3 linked regions of the Cricetulus griseus genome follow. The protein of the gene in region 3 interacts with the protein of the main gene of each other region in a pairwise test. Links are inferred from orthologs where the notes say so. Each region holds a gene or a part of one and is shown on either strand. Other genes may lie near its edges.

Region 1 (3,946 bases), on a different chromosome or scaffold from region 3:
CATCAGGGTTGTGACATTAGAAATAAGTGTAAATGTCAAATTGTCACAGGTCCGAGGATTCTCTGTCTCAAACTTTCAACTTTCCATTGAGATCAGCCTTCTAACAGATTTACAGGGGAGCTGAGCCAGAGTCTGTTAGACCTGGAACTCTATGTTGCCTGAGTTGGACTTCAGCTTTAGATCCCCTTGCTTCTGTCTCTACCTTTATCACCTAAAGGTTGGGATTACAAAACACATGTGACCACACCTCTCTCAAAATACTTTTCTTTCTTTCGTTTTTTAAAAAGGTCTCTTTGAGTAGTACTGGTACCCACTGTGTAGACCAGGTTGGCCTCTAACTCAGAGATCCTCCTGCGTCTGCCTCTGAAGTGTTGGGATTAAAGGTGAGTGCCACTATTGTTCTTTTGTTTCAAATGCTAGGATAAAGCTGAAAGGGGGTCCTGCGTGGGGGACCGTGGCAGATTCCATGGCTGGCAAGGGTGACCAAGGCGGGGGACAAACATGCCAGGTAGATAGAGCTTAAGTGAGAAGTTTCATTAGAAAAGGAAGGGAGGGGGCAGGGAAGGGGAAGGAAAGAGAAAAGAAGTAAAGAGACACAGAGGGAGGGCAGAAAAGCAGAAAGAGAGGAGAACGGAAGAGCAGAAGAGCCATCACCTAAGAGAGAGCAGGAAAAGCAGAGAGGAGAGCCGGAAAGAGCAGAAAGAGAGCGTAAAATCCGCCTGCCTCTGCCTCCCGAGTGCTGGGATTAAAGGCGTGTGCCACCGACGCCCGGCAAAGCAAAAATTTTTTTAGCTGAATTTGTTGCAATTTTTTTTTCTTTTGGCCCTAAGAACTTTGGAAACTTTGGTTAGGAGATACAAAATGTAGTTCTAAGAGTACTGAGAGAATAATTATCAATATTACTGCTTGGATCTTGCTTAGCGAGTTCACTTTTGAGCCAGTGACTAACCAAAATTTTCACAGCCTACACGGATGAAACCACCTTAGACTGGTGGAGCTGCGACAAGCAGATAGGGCTCGACTGCGCGCGCGCGCAGCTCCCGGAAGCCCCGCCCAATCGAGAGGGTGCTTGGGTAAGGAGGGCCGTTTTGGCGGGGAATTGTGACGTCTGTGGACGTGTGTACCTGCTCCTGCCGCCGCCAATGAATGGGCCGGCGGCGCAGCGGATCTGAGCGGCTGGGTCTCGGGACCCTCCGCGAGGCGACCAGGAGCTGTAGCGCGGGGACTGTAGCACTGCCTCCGCCTCAACGGCGAGACGGAAGCCTAGCGGCGGCCCGAGCCCGACCTCCGGGCGGTACGAGGTGCTCTCGGAGCGGCGGTCCCCGCTTCGGGACCCGGCAGTCCCGGCGGCCTCGCCCGAAGAGGCGGGTGCTCACCCGCTGAGGTGAGGAGGGGAGCTGGAGCCGACTGTCCGCCCCGCGGGGAGCCGGAACCACTCACCGACCCGAGCCGGCTGCGCTCTCGAAGGAACGTTCGTTCATTCCCTTGCTGGACGCAGGGCATAACTGCTCGCCTGTTTGCCTCGAGCCTCGGGAAGGTCAGCCTGTCTGGATTCCAGTACGCTGCCTGTGTGTCAGAGTAAATACCAAACCGCTCGCCGGCTTCCTTCGTACCGTGGTTAGCCGAAAGGCTGGTTTCTTTGAGCTCTTGACGTTGAGTAGGCCTCGTGAGCGTCTGGAGATGGCGGCATCCAAAGAGGCCATCCCTTCCTTAGCAGAGTGTCAGTGCGGCATCTGTATGGAAATCCTAGTCGAGCCGGTAACCCTTCCCTGCAACCACACGCTCTGTAACCCGTGCTTTCAGTCAACTGTTGAAAAGGCCAACCTGTGCTGTCCCTTCTGTCGCCGCCGGGTCTCTTCGTGGACTCGGTATCATACCCGAAGAAATTCTCTTGTCAATAGAGACCTGTGGGAGATTATTCAAAAACACTATGCAAAGGAGTGCAAGCTTAGAGCCTCTGGGCAGGAATCAAGGGAAATCAGTGAGTAAAATTCAACATGGTTTTGGGGTTAAAAAGAAAAAAAGCCCAAAATGGTTTAGAGAGGTATCCATCACTTTTCTATTTAAAGAAAAAAGGTGTGTGGGGGAGGAGGGAGGTGGTGGCGCACGCTTTTAATCCTTGGGAGGCAGAGGCAGAGGCAGGCGTATCTCTTGAGTTCAAGGCCAGCCTGGTCTATAGCGCTAGTTCCAGGACAGCCAGGGCTACACATAGAAACCCTATCGGGGGGGGGGACGGGGGGGGGAGAAAGAAAAGAAAAAGAGGACTAACTAGTCTAAATTGACCTTGGGGATTTGTGGTTTTGTGAACCCCGCCCCCATATCGGTTAAAGGCAAAGGCAAATTTTTTTTATCACCTGTAATAATGCTCAAGTTGTGTTCACCAGCTGTGAATTGAGTTTTTAAAATTGCAAAAAAAAAAAAAAAGAATCGCCCCTTTAGAGTTGTCTAACTTCTCAAAGAATTGTGTGGTCAAATTCCAGAGTTCTTTGGCTTTGCATTACTTTCTCTGACCTGTTTATTAATTTCCTTCATTTTATGCTCCGTCCTTAGTATGCAGCAAGCCAAAAATAGATTCCAATTGCCAGTTCCATCTAGTTCAGTCATTTTTGGTTGACCCCTTCCATTCTGGGGGTGCAAAGAGCTACAAACTGATCCCTAGTCTTTAACACTATACCAGTATTACAAGCCATTCAGTATTTCCTTTGGGGCCTGAATGTGGTGTTGGTCTGTAGAGTACCTGCCCTTTATGTGTTTCAAAACACACACACACACACACACACACACACACAGAGGTGACTGGGAGTGGTGGTGCACACTTTTAATCAAAGTACTCAGAGGCAGGGGCAGGTGGATCTGAGTCCAAGGCCAGCCTAGTTTACAGAGAATTCCAAGACCTCAAGGGCTACACAGAGAAACTGTGTCAAACAACTAAACCCCCACAAAATTTCCCGTCTTAATCATTTTAAGCAACAAATCTTGAACAAGAAACCCCCAGTTTTGTAGAGATGCATATGGTAATAGTCGCCTATTTAAAATACTGCTTAAAGCAGGGTGTAGTCCTGCATGCCTTTAATCCAATCACATGGGAGGGAGAGTCCAGAAGTCGGATCTCTAAGTTGAAGGTCAGCCTCCTCTCTTTATTTGAGCTCCAGAACTACAACAGAGACTTTGTCTTAAAATGGCACACACCTTTATTCCCAGCACTGGGGAGGCAGAGGTAGGTGGATCTCCAAAGTTCAAAGCCAACCAGAGAGAGCAAGCATTATGTGCATGCAGGAACCCTTGGAGATCAAGAGAGGCATCAGATCCCCCAGAACTACAGTTAGGACAGTTGCAATCAGAAATTTCTTCTTATTCTTTTTTTTTTTTTAAGATTTATTTATTTATTATGTATACAGTGTTCTGTCTGCATATATCCCTGCAGGACGGAAGAGGACACCAGATCACATTACAGATGGTTGTGAGCCATCATGTGGTTGCTGGAAATTGAACTCAGGACCTCTGGAAGACCAGCTAGTGTTCTTAGCCACTGAGCCACCTCTTTAGCCCAAATTTCTTATTTTTTTTTTAAAGTTCACTTGATAAATAAAAATAGCCAAGATATCAAGAGAGCAAAAGGCAGCCCACAAAATAGAAGAAAAATATTTGTAAATTATAGATAATAAGAAAACAGACAGCAAACATTTGTAATTCTAACACTTGGAAGGCTGGGGCAAGAAAGAGGTCTGCTGCAAGTTTGGGACCAGCCTACGCTATGTCAAAAGAGTCTGAAAATGGGGCTAAGAAATGGCTCATCAATTAACAGCACTTCTCACAGAGGGGACTGGGTTCAATTCCCAGCACCCTCACCAGGCACCTCCTTATAACTCCAGCTGCTGAGGATCTGAGGTCCTGCCCTCTTCTGGTCTCCATTGGTGCTTGCATGCCTGTGCTGAACATAAAACTC
Region 2 (4,093 bases), on a different chromosome or scaffold from region 3:
TAGCAAAAATACATGCCAAAGTCACAATAAGCAATATTTTACCACAAATTAGAGAGCTTCAAATAATTTGCTTCTTTTTTAATATCTCCATTCTACATTAAATTACTATCATAGGCTAATGTTTAAAATGCAAATAAACTGGACATCTGTAGGACAGAACTTGTTCACCCAACTGTGAAGGCTGATACCTGTTTCCAAAAATCACAATAAATGCAGAATAAAGAGAAGTGTTTGCATGCAACACCTTTGAGTGAAACAGCATTGATCCCCACCATTCAAATCAGAGAAGGAAGGAAATCCAAAGAAGAAAAGGAAGGAAAGAAGAAGGGAGGGAAGGAAACAAAGAGGGGAGAGGGCAGGCTGGAAGGGAAGGGAGAGAGAGGGTGGGAGGGAGGGTGGCGGGAGGAGGAGGAGCAGGAAGGGAAAGAAGGGAGGGACTCCACCTTAAAATGCATCCTTTTAGATTTATAAGTAGACAGATTTAAAAGAATCAAAATAAAAGTAAAGCACAATTTTGTGTGTTTAAAGATTTAAGAGCCATTATCAAAAATAAGATACATTTTTTCAAGGTACAGAAATGTAATTACGATGGCTGAGAGCCCAGCAGCCTCTCAATGGCCGCATTGATGTCGCCTCCTGTTGCTATTAGGGCCTGCAAGTTTGCTTCACGATTTATGAACCCCATGGCGTTGAGCTGTTCCAGTTGCTGCTGAAATCTCATTTCTGCACTCGCCATCTGGGCAGGAGTTGGTCCTGCTCCTCCTCCTGCCAGAGCCTGCACCATCTGATGAATGAACTGCGGGCTGGGTAAAGTTTCCATTGTCGGACTGATGGTATCAGTAGCTGCACAGCTGCTCACAGTGGTTGCAGGGGGGACCCCAGTGCCGGTGGATCCAGGAGAGCTTGCAGGGCCAGTGGGTCCTATAGGCCCAATAGGGCCTATGGGGGTGAAAGGAACTATAGGACCCATGGGCCCTATGGGAGTGACTGGGCCCACAGGGGTTATGGTGGTTCCCAGGACTCCCACCCCCACACCTGGAGCGAAGCTTGGAATGAGGCCAGGTGCTTCAGTGGCTAGTGTCTGTAGCCCCTGCTGGATCTGCATTAACGCTTGCATCGCTCTCGGATTTGACATGGCCGCAAGCGTGTCTGGATTCTGCATCTGCTGCAGGAAATTCGGGAGCTGTGGACGCATCTGCTCTTGCAGCTGAGGATTTGAAGCAAACAGTGGGCTACTCATCATCATCTGGGCAGCCAAATCTGGATTCTGGCTCAGCGACTGCATCATGCTTCTCATGTAGGGTGCAGACAGCATATTCTGAATCAGCTGGGGATTTTCAGTTATCTGTTGCAGCAGGTTCTGCATTCCTGGTGTACTAAAGATGCTAGCAACATAATTAGCTGCCGCCATGGTGTTCCCGAAGGTGCTACTAGAGGAGCTACCGCCAGGCATAGTGCCACTGCTTGTGGTCGTGGTGTTGGTCGGAGAGCCCTGGGTAGCTGGCGTTGGTGCCCAAGGATTGGGCAGTGGATCCCGGTTTTCTGTGCGGGAAGGCTGGGTGCCCTCCCCTGAGGAACTGCTCCCCACCGTGGCAAAGGGGTTACCCCCAAACTGCTCCTGTGCGGCATTCAGCATGGGCTCTTGAATGTCAGTGTACATGCGCCGCAGAGCATTGTAGCCACCTGGGATGCTTTCGAGATTACTGAGAGCCAGGTCTTGATTTCTCATCATCTCTTGCATCATGGCAGGATTCCTGGCGATTTCGAGAGTCTGCCTCATTATATCTGGGTTGTTCAGTAGGTGACTGATCTCTGGGTTTCTCTGGATCAGTTGTTGCATCTGCGGATTGGCCATAATGAGCTGCCTCATCAGATCAGGATTCGAAAGCATGCTCTGAACAAAGGGATTTTCCATGATCTGGATCATCATCTCAGGGCTAGCCATGAGCTGCTGCTGCATATGGTTCTGAAGCTCAGTGAAGCTGGTCGAGTTCAGACCCAGGCTGCTAAGGCTAGCAAGTCCTCCCAGGGTCCCCGACGCAAACGGATTGTTATTCGTGAGAGAAGGTGTGGAGAGACTCCTGGGAGCCGTTGTCGACGCTGGCGCCGTTGGCGCCCCTGGCGCTGTTGCGGCCGTGGTGGTGGTGGTGGTCGTGCATGTTCCCGCAGTGGTGCTAGGCTGCGTGGTGGACTGGCTCTGAGGGCGGTTCTGGTTTTTGATGACAAGGTGAACAGTCAGTCCATCATGGATGCCATGCTGCATCAAGGTATCTTGATCTTTCAAGATTTTTCCGGCAAAAATCAGCACGAGCTGATCGATTTGCGATTTGAAGCGTTTAGAAATCGCTTCCTTAAACTGCTGGACGGTGCTATTCTCGGGCACCGCGAACTCCTCTTTCTCTTTGGGGGTCTTCACAGTGACTTTGATGATTTTGGGCTCGGCTGGCTCGGTGGCCTCGCCTTGGGCCGCAGCGGCAGGGCCGCGGGAGGGGCGCGGGGGGCCGCTGCTCTCGCCGTTCTCAGCCATGGCGGCCGCGGTGACGCAGGCTGGCAGGGAAGGCGCTGGCGAGCGAGAGGGCGCGAGGGAAAGAGGAAGGAAGGAGGCGCCGCAGCAGAGGACTGGGCGGCCCCGCGAGCAGTGCGGAACACAGTACCTCGGAGATGAATGGAGGCTGCAGCTCCCGGTAGTCGGATGCGCACAGGGTTTGGCGTAGGCCGCGGCCGAGCGCTGAGCGAGCAGGTCTCCAGGCCTTCTCCGCCGCCGCCTTGTGATCTGTCCGCGCGCACTCCCAGCAACTCCTGCAGCTGCGGTGCCCGCGCTCCCGCCCCGCCCCGCCCCGGCCCGGCCCCGCCCCCTGCTGACGCGGCGCCAGCCCAGCCACAGTCGCTCGGCCGAGTGCAAAACTCCTGGCCTGCAGAGGGGGGGAAAGGAGGGAGAGAGAAATAAACAAAGAGAGGGGGAAGAGAAGGAGGCTGGAAGAGAAAGCGAGGGGACCCGGGCGAGGCGAGGCGAGGCGAGGCGAGGCGAGGAGAGGGGGAAGGGAGGAGGCCGGGAGGAGGAAGAGGGAGGCAGCTTCTTTAGCAGCCCCTGAAAGACCAATGGAGAATGTGGGTTCGCAATCTGGGAGGCAGTGAAAGGATGAAAGCCTGAATTGAACCGATCCCATGCAAAGGACGAAAAATGAATAGTAAAGAACTCTGACAAAGCAAAAAGGGAAAACGAACACCCGGATGGGGGAAGGGCAGGCATGGCGGGAGCGAGCATTTTACAAAAGAAGCGAAAAAACGGCCAGCAGGCTTCTAAAATATGATTGTGCTCGCTATTAATCAAAGGGATTCAAATAAAAACAATGAGATTTTACTTCGACTTTATCATATTTGCAAAGATGAAAGAGAATGTTAAATCTTGTTGACCAGGAGCCGAGAAAATGCACTCTCATGCTAGTTGTAGTATGAATTGTAATACGGCAGTTTGAAAATACAAATGAACATTTTGAATATTTGCACCTTTGTTTAGAAATACCTAATCGATTCAAAAAAGCATATTATGATGTATATTAATAACGTAGCATTTAAAAACAGTGTTTAGATATTTTCAATGTGTGTGTAAAACATAGAATTACTCAAACATACTACGATAGTGCCATACAATAAAATAATCCCTGTATCTAAAAGATGGTGGCTAATTCATGTAATATTAAGTGTCTCTAAAAGTGTACATCAAAATGCACTGTAGTGACGAGAAAATAATAGATGGTATTTAATATGGGTTAATATTTTTTCTAAACAAATGGAAACAATACAGGCATGTAGATATTGATCAAAAAGCTAGTAGCCTGTGTGGAAAAGAAATCTGAAAGGCTGTACTCCAGTAAAGGTAACAATTAGAGCTGAAATTGTGAATAATTCTTATTTTCTATTTTTATCAGATTTTCAATTTGATGGATAAGTATGCATTGCATTTATAATTTTTAAAAACAACAAATATATTTCCAGACAAGAATGTAGGTAAAAACTGACAGCCAGACAATAGTGGTGGCAAAGATTAACCTATTTATCTTTTGCATTACTGAGTAAAGGAAATAACAATGTA
Region 3 (4,203 bases):
TACTATTTCTTTTAGCTTCCAAGTCATGTAGAAACAAATATTAGCAATACAGTATAGACTTCAAGGAGGCATTATTATTTCTACAGCTTTCTTTTAAAAATTCTTGAGATAAGATTTCATTCTATAGCCCAGACCAGCACAGACATCACTATGTAGAGCTGTCAGCAAACAATCCTCCCGCCCCAGCCTTCCTTCCAAGCATTAGGATGACAGGCATGAGCGACCATGCCAGACTAAAATTCTCTTTTTATGTTCTGATACTAACTTTGCATATCAGTATCCGGGTCGCTCATTCATTTCAGGAAAAGGCAACCACAATACAATTTCCACTGTCAAAAATAACACATTCCAAAAAATACTGGAAATACCAAAACCCATCATGATCTACCTAGTCCCTCTAGAAAGGACAAAAATATAGTTTCTATAAACTCTAACAGAGAAAACAAGTCAGGTATTCAATTTTCCTAGAAAGAGGCTATGAAGCATAGATTTTGGGAGGAAAAAGTTTGCTCATGACACCTAAATTAATACATTTGAGTAGCTATCGTAGAGGGGGAAACAGTAAGCTATAGATACCTGAGAGAAAGGCCTAGTGGTGTATAGGCCTCTAATTCTAGCAACTCTGGAGGCGGAGACAGTAGGACAGAAAGTTGAGGGCCTGTCTGGTGACTTCATGAAACAGTTTTGTTTTGTTTTTTAAAGGGTGGTGGTGGTGGTGGTGGTGGTACTGGAATTATAGCTCTGTTGTAGTGTTTTGCTAGCATGTACAAGGCTCTCAGTTCAATTCCAGATCCCATTTAGTATTAAAGTCTGCTCTTGGAGCAATTTAAACAAGTTGGGAGAAATGGGGTACACTGCATTTTTATGTGACAGGAATTGCATGAAACAGTGAGAACAGAGCTTCTATTCTTCATTTATCTCAGTTATTGAGCATCTACTATGAGTCAGATGCTGGGGTAGAAAAGCACCTGGAAAATGTCCCAAATTCAGCTTATACAAGGGGAGGGGAACACATATTTCAAGGATGAGACACACAACTGCCTGAACAAAGATACTAAACTATTATAGGCAGGGTATTGCTTATATAAGTGTGGAAGGTTTGTGGGGGACACCTCCAGGAATTCAGGAAGGGAATGTCAGAACTTTAGATAGTGAGCTGAGTCCTTGAAGAGGATTAGATATTCACCTGGGCAACCTTGGGGCAAAGGCTCCTAGAAGCAAGATCACCTGGAGTGAAGACGAAATTGTCAGAATTGTCAACAGCCTGGTTTGGTAAGCTTGAAATGTAGAGGCTACAATGAAGACTGGACTAATGTGCATGGAAGACCCCTGAAGAGGGTCAGAAAATCAGCGTATGTGATCACATGATGGGAAACTGGTTTACACAGAATTGAGAAAGGAAAACACAAAACTAGATAATGATGTCACCACATAAAAAACAAAGGAGACTGCCAAGTTAGAAAACCCACCTCTCTCCAGGAAAATACTGAAGAATTGCATTCAAGCCCACCTGGGAGTTTACTCAGTTATCACTGAGAAAGACTCATTCAAGAGTCTTGATAAAGAGAAGGCCTTAAGTAACAGATGTCTGAAAGGTCTCTAAAGTTCAAGATAATCAAGGTTTTATTAAATCAACTTACTTAAAAGGTGTGTCACAGGGGTGGAGCAAAAACAGGAGGAGCTTAAAATTTACCACGTATGTATATATAAACAAGTAACTCTTTATGAAGCTGAGGCTAAAATTCCCACTTGGAATTCTACCTCCCCAAGTAGATGGTAAAAAGACATTCTCCCGAACCAATTAACAAAGATAGGGTGGGAGTAGGGAGGACTATAAACGAAAACACAATTATAAAGGGGGGGGGGTGACAACCTACCCACAACCCATAATCCTGTTGGCAGTCTGTTGAGGAAATCACACAACTCAAGACATAAAGGCAGGAAAACCATGTCATCCTTAACTCTACAAGCTAACTACCAGACACTAGCCAAGGGGATATGATCACATAGTTTGATTCCTGAACTCAAGGACAGAACACCGTCCCCAAACGGTGCCCAAGGGGAAGGCAAGAAGGATCCTTCTCTAGTCGGGGACTGGGCAGCAGACACCCTCAAGACCAGCCCCGAAGGGGTCAACGCCCCCCGAGGCCAGGCCGTGGAGGCCAAGGGCAGAGGGCCCGAGCCACCTCTCCTCTCACGCCAACACACACCCTCCCGTACCTGATATGGCGGCGGCGGCTCCTGATCTGGCTCCGTCCCCTCGCCAAAGCTAGCCCGGTCGGACTGAGACTCGTGAAGCAGGGAGATGTCATCCGAGGTCGGGGATTTGAGGCAGTTCCCCATCTTCCGGGGCTGAGGTGTGTGCGTGAGATCTGGGGGAGGAAGAAAGCTGTGACCCGGTCTCCCGCACACTCAGCGGTGAGCTCGCCCGGCGCCGCGGGGTCCAAGGCGGCAGGCCCGGGGCTCAGGAGGCGGCTCCCCCGCGCCCCGGCGCCGCCGAGGGGCCACTCATGCCAGCCCCCGGGGCAGGGGGCGCGAGGCTAGGCCGCGGGCTGCGCCGGGGTCGCGCCGGGAGCCTGAGGGGGGCGGGGGCGGGGAGACGGAGCGCTTCCCCCACCCCGCCCCCCGCGAGGCGGCGGCGGCCACGGGGCTGCTGGGCCTAATCCAGGTCAGGAGGGGGGGGCGCGGCCGTCCCGGCTGCCTCAGCTGCTGCCTCAGCGGCTGTTGCCCCTGCCGACGCTGGAGCCGCGGCCTGGGGCCTCATCCTACTCCGCCTTAGCGCGGCGGCGGCAGCCAGAACGAGGCCAGCCGGGCCTACGTCACGCCGCCGTGCGTGCTCTGGCCCCGCCTCGGGCTCCTTGCTCCCCGCCCCCTGCGTGGTGCTGAGTTTAAGGTGCTGACTGTGTGTCCGTCAGTCTCGGGCGCCCCTCTGTATCCCGGCTGCACCCTGCCGGCTCGCGGCGTGAGGCTGGTCCCTTACCTGCGCAGCGTCCTCAAAGACTGTTCACTCTGTCTGCGAGGTGATGTTTATATGCCCGCATGTGAATGGATTAGGCAGATAGCTGAGGTGTTTAAACAGCTTCTTCTTTATCCTTTCAGAATAAAGTCCACACTTAATGCCACGCCCTGTGTTTCCTATCTCTGTTCTACCCTCCCGGCATCACACAGCTAAGAGATTATCAGATTGTTTCATTTCTTTCCAGTCCCACCACCCCTCAATCTAACGTTTGCAGTCGATTGATTCTCAGTCTCCCTGCATTCATCATTGCCCCCCCCAACCCTTTGAATGGTTGAGGATTTTTGTTTTTTAATGCCATATAGTTGCACTTAAAATTTCTAGTAGCTTCTCAGTACTTCCCACAGAATAATCTTAAGAAATCTGGATCTCCACGGTACACACCTTTAATCCCAACACTCGGGATGCAGAGACAGGCAGATCTCTTGAGTTCAAGGCCATCCTAGTTTACAGAGTGAGCTCTAGAACAGCCAGAGCTACACAGACAAACCATGTCTTGAAAAAAAAAAAAAAGACACCCAACAGCAGGGCGTTGGTGGGGCACGCCTTTAATCCCAGCACTAGGGAGGCAGAGGCAGGTGGATCTATGTGAATTCAAGGCCAGACTAGTCTCCAGAGCGAGTGCCAGGATAAGCTCCAAAGCTACACAGAAACACCCAGTCTCCAAACAAACAAACAAACAAACGCCTATTTTATTAGCAGTACTGTCCCCGTTTCATAAATTCTCAACTCCAACATGGCCAAAGTGCTTTTAGTTATCTCAAAGACTGTTCCCTAAGGCTGGGATTTCCACAGACAGACCCTACTTCTGACCTTCTACCCCTCATTGGGCTAATCATTATTCCCAAAAGTCCTTCCTGGATTCATTTTTGTTTGGCTAGGGAAGCTTTTTCTGACCCTCCAGTCTGGGTTAGTCTCCTCCTCGGAGTTTCCAGTCCCTGTGCCTTTCTGTGAGGTGGATCAAGCTGAATGATCTGTCCCTTCCCTGTGTAGGCCTGGCATGCTGCCTAAGGTAGACTCTTTTCCTTGGTTGAATGAACAAATAAATGGTCAAAGAGCATATGCAAAGAAAAGAAAGGAAAAGAAGACAGATGAGGCTGTTCTCCACAGTCATTCCTTCAACAAGAAGGCAAGAGGTTGACTTTGATCGGTTTTTATTCACCATTTACTGACTTATTATTATTCTT

What was found.
Region 1: the proteins of Rnf11 (region 3) and Rnf168 interact in binary tests that used the Homo sapiens proteins (3 or more experiments, as listed by UniProt). The link is inferred for Cricetulus griseus from reciprocal best matches to the Homo sapiens genes RNF11 and RNF168.
Region 2: the proteins of Rnf11 (region 3) and Ubqln2 interact in binary tests that used the Homo sapiens proteins (3 or more experiments, as listed by UniProt). The link is inferred for Cricetulus griseus from reciprocal best matches to the Homo sapiens genes RNF11 and UBQLN2.

The regions. Positions count from the first base shown.
Region 1 is NC_048597.1:57,245,463-57,249,408, reverse strand, and holds the start of Rnf168 (E3 ubiquitin-protein ligase RNF168), read left to right. Parts: upstream 1-1,146; coding exon 1,147-1,294; intron 1,295-1,384; coding exon 1,385-1,981; intron 1,982-3,946. UniProt on the Homo sapiens protein: E3 ubiquitin-protein ligase required for accumulation of repair proteins to sites of DNA damage. Acts with UBE2N/UBC13 to amplify the RNF8-dependent histone ubiquitination.
Region 2 is NC_048604.1:111,414,374-111,418,466, reverse strand, and holds the start of Ubqln2 (ubiquilin-2), read right to left. Parts: upstream 2,801-4,093; 5' UTR 2,528-2,800; coding exon 584-2,527; 3' UTR 1-583. UniProt on the Homo sapiens protein: Plays an important role in the regulation of different protein degradation mechanisms and pathways including ubiquitin-proteasome system (UPS), autophagy and the endoplasmic reticulum-associated protein degradation (ERAD) pathway.
Region 3 is NC_048595.1:40,350,325-40,354,527, reverse strand, and holds the start of Rnf11 (RING finger protein 11), read right to left. Parts: upstream 2,801-4,203; 5' UTR 2,344-2,800; coding exon 2,221-2,343; intron 1-2,220. UniProt on the Homo sapiens protein: Essential component of a ubiquitin-editing protein complex, comprising also TNFAIP3, ITCH and TAX1BP1, that ensures the transient nature of inflammatory signaling pathways. Promotes the association of TNFAIP3 to RIPK1 after TNF stimulation.